Macaca mulatta: one gene and its partner. The protein of the gene in region 1 purifies or fractionates together with the protein of each later gene. This does not show direct contact. Links are inferred from orthologs where the notes say so. Each region holds a gene or a part of one and is shown in the gene's direction. Other genes may lie near its edges.

The links.
Region 2: the proteins of DBF4B (region 1) and CDC7 purify together in Homo sapiens (affinity purification with mass spectrometry; 3 studies listed by BioGRID and IntAct, counting the BioPlex papers as one, with this or other methods). This does not show direct contact. The link is inferred for Macaca mulatta from reciprocal best matches to the Homo sapiens genes DBF4B and CDC7.

The regions. Positions count from the first base shown.
Region 1 is NC_133421.1:69,119,902-69,122,379, forward strand, and holds part of DBF4B (protein DBF4 homolog B), read left to right. Parts: intron 1-577; coding exon 578-686; intron 687-887; coding exon 888-1,012; intron 1,013-1,366; coding exon of another isoform or gene 1,367-1,604; exon of another isoform or gene 1,605-1,842; coding exon 1,843-2,478. UniProt on the Homo sapiens protein: Regulatory subunit for CDC7 which activates its kinase activity thereby playing a central role in DNA replication and cell proliferation. Required for progression of S and M phases.
Region 2 is NC_133406.1:148,808,835-148,813,274, reverse strand, and holds the start of CDC7 (cell division cycle 7-related protein kinase), read left to right. Parts: upstream 1-1,451; 5' UTR 1,452-1,478; exon of another isoform or gene 1,479-1,549; intron 1,550-2,253; exon of another isoform or gene 2,254-2,287; 5' UTR 2,288-2,316; coding exon 2,317-2,431; intron 2,432-4,440. UniProt on the Homo sapiens protein: Kinase involved in initiation of DNA replication. Phosphorylates critical substrates that regulate the G1/S phase transition and initiation of DNA replication, such as MCM proteins and CLASPIN.

The DNA.
Region 1 (2,478 bases):
ACCACCCCATCCTCACTTGTGGTTTAAGAGGACGGAGATGGCCGGGAGCGGTGGCTCACGCCTATAATCCAAGCACTTTGGGAGGCCAAGGCAGGCAGATCACCTGAGGTCAGGAGTTCGAGACCAGCCTGGCCAACATGGTGAAACCCTATCTATACTGAAAATACAAAAATTAGCTGGGCGTGGTGGTGTGTGCCTGTAATCCCAGCTATTCGGGAGGCTGAGGCAGGAGAATGGCTTGAGCCCAGGAGGCGAAAGGTTGCGGTGAGCCGAGATCACACCAATGCACTCCAGCCTGGGTGACTAAGCTAGACTCTGTCTAAAAAAAAAAGAGAAGGACAGAGATAAGACAGGCTGCCCACAGGGAGGTCTCCAGATGTCTTCTTCCTTGTTCCTCTCTTGCCGTTCTTAGATGATTGGTACCAAGCTCAGGGAAGGCCCACCTTCTGGTGCCTGCCCAGCCCCTTGGCCGTCTCAGTCCTTCCCCTCCTTGACCTAGGCTCCAGGCCCTAAGTAGTGGCTCCTCCCCCAAGGGACCCAGCAGTAACCACTTTGCTGCACTATGTACCCTCCCCAGAGAATCCAAGGATGGAGAGCCAAGCCTGCGATCAGCTGCCCGCACCATGCCCAGGAGGAAGAAAGGCTACTGCGAGTGCTGCCAAGAGGCCTTCGAGGAGCTCCATGTGGTGAGCCCCTTCCCCGCTAAGCAGCTGCTCCCAGAGTGCCTTGAGGGATCCTGCTCACTGGGGATGAGTCCTTCCTGTGCAATCTCCACGCTGCTGTGGCTGTGTCCTCCAGGGCCATAGCATGGGCTGGGAGGTCAGCTTCCATGTCCCCCTCCCCCCAGGCCTCATGTAATGCCCTGTCCTCCTCTCGCCCCCCGGCAGCATCTTCAGAGTGCCCAGCACCAGGGCTTTGCCCTAGAAGCCCATCCATATGCAGAAGTGGACAGGATCATTGCCCAGCTCAGCCACAGCTTTGTAGACATCCCTTTCCAGGCCGGCCTCCCCAGGTGAGTGCCATGCTGGCAGGCATAACTGCGTCTGCACTCTCCTCTGTTGCCCTCTGGGTGGGAAGAGACCCTCAGGTTGGTGGCTGCTGGGACCAGACTGTGATGTTTTCCTCTTTTCTCACCTTCCTTTCCCCTCATCCTCAGTCCTGTTTGTTTTGGGGGTGGCCAAAAAAAAATTAAAAGACCTCCATTTGTGGCCTCAGTTGATGAAGACTAGACCCAGACCAGACTGTGGCTCCCTTCCTACCCCACGGGCTTTGATGTGGATGATAAGCAATTCCGGCCAGGGAGCAGGGGGGTAGTTCTCGGGCCTCTCCTAGATAGGTGAAGAGTAAAGTCTTTCTCCCTCTGTAGAAGTCACCACCAGAAGGAAGGACTGCATGGGGTTTGGTGGGAATTCCAGGGCCCTCTGAGCTCCGCTTCCCCTTGCTGCCAGCAAGGCAGACCCTCTCCCATCTGGAGCTATGGCTTCACCTCTCACCCCAAATCTCCACCTCAAGCTCAACTCACACAGCCAGGAACTGCACTGCTTTCTTCAGCTGCCAAAGGGCACAGCCTCCTCTGTGAAGTCATGAAATGGAATAGCCTCTAACGTATTCCTCTGGCCAGCCCCAACCACAGGCCACAGAGCCAAGAGAAGTGCACACAGTGCTAACTGCTGCGGCAGGTTCAGACCCAAACAGGAGGACTTTCACACAGGGCCTCAGAGAAGGCAGCCATCTCGGCACATGAACCGCCAGCTGTGGCGGCTCTCCCTGTGCCCTCAGCCCTGGCCCAGGCCTGCTGTGAAGTTGAAACCTGCAGCTCACTGGGTGTTTCTGTCTCAACAGGTGGTCAGGTTCCCCAGCTTCTGACTGTGACCCTCTCTGTCCTAAGACTCTGCACCCCCGCCAGCCCTCCCATCCCAGGGCAGCATCTCCCAGGATAAGGAAGGAAGACAGCTGCCAGGTGTCAGGTGTCCCAAAGCAGGATGGGACAGTGAACAGCACGCAGGCACCAGCTGAACGTGCAGGGACTGGTGAGGTACCTGAACCTATAGCAACCTGCCAGGACCTGAGGGGATTAGTTGATGTGTTTATGGACACCCCAGAGACACTGGTGTCTAGGAACCCTGCTTGCCAACGCCTGCTGCCTAGCTCTGGTTTTATGGAACTCTCCTCTGGCCTAGACCTGGCACTTGTTGGCCACAAGCGCAAGGTTCAGTTCCCCAGTGGCAATGCTGAGAAGAGAGTGGGGGCCTCTTGGCCACAGGCTTCATTTTTTGTCCCAATAGCACCCAACCCCTGTGGCACCAGCACAACCGGTGGCAAGCATCTTCCCTGTCTTCCCCTTCCAGGCCATGAGTCCAGGCTCCTCACCTCTCTCCAGCCCTTGTGCCACTCACAGACCTGCCTCTCTCTCCCAGACCCCTTCCCCTGGCAGCCCACAGACAGACCAGGAGAGTTCTGGGCCACACAGCCCCACTG
Region 2 (4,440 bases), on another chromosome or scaffold:
CTTACTTTTGTCTTGATCTATCATGGTCAAACTCTGTCTTGTCTTGATGTTCTGTGAAATTGTTTATGTTCAACAGAAGAATAAAAATGCTTAGCTTTGATTGCCAGGCCAGCTCAAAGCAACGGCAAGCCAAGCTGGTAGTACCAGGCCATCTCCTGGATGTCACGGTCTGCTTTTCTCTTTCTCAGTATCCACACTAGAATTCTTGATTTACTCTCTTCCACCTCACTCAATCAAAACCCATTACCTCACAGACTTCCCTTCTCTGTGGCACTACCACCCACACATATGCTAGCCCCAAAACCTAAGATTCACTCTTGATGATGCCCTTTTCTTAATTTTCCACAGCCAATCACCAAATCCCATTGTCTTCTTTCTTTTATTTCTTCCGCCATTGTTCTGGTCCAAACTACCATTATCTTTCTCCTAAACATGAAGTGCATCCTATTTCCTCTGCTTCCACATTTGCCCCTCTATAATCCATTCTCTTCATAACACATAGATCGTATCACTCCCTTGCTTTAAAACTTTCAAATAGCTTCCTATTGTACTCAAAATAAAAGCCAAACTTCTTACCCTGGCTTTCAAGGACCACGGTCTGGCTTCTGCCTAACTCTCCACCCTCATCTATCTGGGACTATCTTGCCGCTCACTCACTATGCTTCCCCCACACTGGCCTTTCCTGCCCTGCCCCTGCAACATACCAAGTTCCTTTCTCTCTGCATTTGCCCTGTCCTTTCTTTGCCAGAACAGTAGTCTCCCTGCCAGCTCTTTCTCATCCAGGTCTCTTTGAGAGGGCTTCCCTGACCATCTAGATGCCACCTTTCTAGGTACTATCACATCTTTTCATTTTATTTCCTTCAAGTAGTAATCAATACCGGAAAGAATACTGTTCATGTATTCATCCGTTATTGTCATCGCTTCATTGGAATTTAGCTTCCTACAGGGATGGTGTTTGTCTTGCTCACTATGATTTCAGCCCCTAGAAATCCGCCTACCTCAGAGCCAAGGACTCAGTAAACAGTATACACTGCCTTCCTGCCACTGTGCTAATTTCTACTAACACAGTCACAAATAATCAGCATTTTCTGCTTGTTTTTAACGTAAAGTAGGGCACTCAATGAAAAGGAAATAAAAGGAGAGTCAAGAAAGTGCCTTCTATCCATGGAGTACCCAAGTGTTGTGCGGCCACGGTATATAGGGATGTGTCAGCACCTGAGGTGTTTCCTTCTCTGAGCTAGTTTCTTTCCTGGAAATCATGTTGGGCCCTTAGCCTTATGGTTCACCCTGTTTTTTAAGATCATCCCGGGGTTTCATTCCCGTAACCGCTCTTCCAGCTGGCCAAGGGGGCGGGAAGAAATCCCAGCCTCTTGCGCAAGCGCCCAGTAGCGGAATCCGCTGGGTCGAGGGCTTTAGTGTGCGCATGTGCAACGAGAGCTGCGGCGGGAAGTGTTGCGCAGGCGCATCCGATCCACTCGGTAGGTGGGGAGCTCTTGGAGACGGCGACCCAGGCATCTGGGGAGCCCCAGAAGTCGTACTCCCTTAAACCGTGAGTTTCAGACGGTTTGTTCCGTGGCGCGGGATTGTGAGGGATTAGGAACGAATTCTGGATGGTGACTTCGGTTTTCTCGCCGTGCAGTTCCTTTCCCCGCCCCCCTTCGGATCCCTCCGACCTGCGGCGGGAAAGTCGCGCGCCTGCGTACTAAGCATCTGGTTCGGTCTCTGGCCCGAGGGAAGCCGGTCTTTTCCGGCTGACCTCGCGGCCAGGGCTGGTCGGAGGATTCCCATTCATTAAGCCATCTCCTCCTCCGCCCAGTACTCGTAGCCAGGGTCGTATCAGTTCTCCATCAACTTGCGTGGGGCCTTGGACGAGCTTCCTGGCGCTCCCTGTCAGTGGCGAAACGGTTTTCTCCCTCTGTCCTTTTCCTGACTTCAAACCGCCCCCGGCGCTCGGCCCCTCCCCCACGCGGTCCCGCAGGCTACGCCGGACTCGCAGCCTCGCCGTTTCCCACTGCGCCGGCTGCTGCGCGGGTACCCAAGCCGGGAAATTCTCCCTGCAGCCCCCTGCCGGCGTTTCTGATAGGTGAAAATAAAGCACATGGAATTCCTTAGAAAAGGCCACAGTATGCCCTACTGTGGAGGTTTGGACACATGGTGCATTTGAAAATGTTTGCCCCTTTGGGGGCAGTGGCATGTTTTTAGTGCGTGGTTTAGCGAGTGATCTAAACTTCTCCAGTGTTCTAATTTTTACAGCTGCTTTGCTTTCCCTGTGGATGTAACCCCTTAGCTGGCATTTTGCATCCCAATTGTCTTGTGATGGAGGCGTCTTTGGGGATTCAAATGGATGAGCCAATGGCTTTTTCTCCCCAGCGTGACCGGTCTCAGGCTGAAGGCTCTCTAAAAAAAAACGAGCAGAATTTTAAACTTGCAGGTATGTGTTTAATTCCAAAGATGTACAGTTGCAGAGATTTTTCAGGCAACAATTCTGTGTTTTCAGTTGCTCTCAAAAAATAAGTAGATTGAATCTTAAAGTGAGTTGTGTGTTTCTGTAGGACAGTGTTTTAAAACAGAGCTTCATACGATCTAAATGTAGGACTGAATTGCAATTTGGAAGACTGTAATACAACCCGTTTTACGGTTGAAGTTGTTATGGTCATCAATATTGGTAACTAAGAATGCAGAAGTTTGATGATGCCCAAATTAAATTTCTCTTCTCTACCTGTGTTCTTGTCTCTACTCACCACATTGCCTTAAGCTTAAATTTAGAAATTGACACTGGAGATCATCACTTAAGTATTCAAAAGCAGAACTCACAGAGAAAAAAATATGAAATGTTTGTAGCAATAATAAAGCACCATATCTCAGTGTAGAGCATGAAATGTTGTTTGGCCGTAAACCAGACCTTGGGGTGAAGAGGACAGGGTCAAGCAGTGCGTGCTTTTGTACACTCGCATGTGTGCTTTCATTTCTGCTCTGGCACAGGACCTGGGACATAGTAGGTATTTATTAATAATAAATATTTGTTAAATAGAGGAATTCTAGTTGACTGTATTTGTTTTCCTGAAAGGGTAGCCAGATCTTTTCCATCTTTGTCTGAAGTGAATTCTGTGCTTGTCCAAAAGATACTTATTTTGACCTTTTGTCCATATATTCTTTATAACCCCACCCTAGAAAAATATGACATCACATACTTTCTGCTTTGATGGAAGTCATTTATCCCAGTTACCTAAACTTGAAACTTTAATCTTCAGCTGATGCTTTTTATTTGTTCCCCATATCGTCACCTAGCTTTATCTCTTTTTAATAGGTATGGCATTGTGTCTTCTTTCCATTCCCATTTCCACCACATTAATTCATTTCCTTACACTTTGTTCCTGATTTACAACAGTTTCTCACCTATGCTGCCTGCTTGCACTTTTCCATCCTTCAGTTCATCTGGTACGTTGGTGCTAGAATAATCTTAAAATGCCACTTTCATCCAGTTTCGTGGATACTGTTCCTCTTCCTTTCCATTTTTCCAGCAGTTAGCTGTTTTTTTAGTTCATCTTTCCCTTACTAGTCATTGGACACATAACACAGTAACACAGTCATTGTAGTATTCTTTTTCTATCGCTTAGGATTCTGCATTTTGTCTCCACTGTAAGCCCCTTGGTGGCAGTATCTCCTCTGGCTTCTGAAGTATGTTGTGACTTCAGCAGAGTATCTGAATGGATGACTCTGACTTGGTTCTGGCATCTTGTTTAGGAGAATGCCACTATTCTAATATTCTGAAAATCTGCTGGGAAGTAAAGAATGGGGTGAATTTTATTCCAGATTTCAAAAGTTTTGTAGCGTTTATGTAACAGAATATTGGACATTATAAATAATACGATAAATTGTAAAACATGCTAAAACTTTACTCTTGCAGCTCTTTTTAAAATATGATCCTTAATAACAGCTAAAATTATATAAACATAACTTCAATGGGGAGTAAAGCTGATGAGGTCCAGGCACGTAACAGTCTCGTAATCTAATTGGGAAAGTAAATCAAATTAGATCATAAGACAGGTATATCCCTGTACCTTATCAGCTTTACTCCTTATTGAAGTTATATTTTTGATTGGATGTTTTATATATCTTTGCATTCCCAGAGCTTAACAGTGTCCAGCACATAGTAGGTGCTTGAAAATATTTGAATGAATGATTTAATGTAAGGATATAAAGTAAAATACTTAGTGTAATGGATGAATAGCATGTCTCTTTATTTTGAGATATTTGTAAGATTTTTTATAACATTTTTCTGATAAACATGATTATTGAAAGTTTTGAAGTAAAGAAAGCCAAAATAAAGTCTTTGCATTATTGAAATATTGCCTGAACCGGAGTATGAGATCTTATTTCTGATCTCCATTTTTTGTTTAATATATATCTTGAATATTGCTGATGTAGTAAATATTCTAC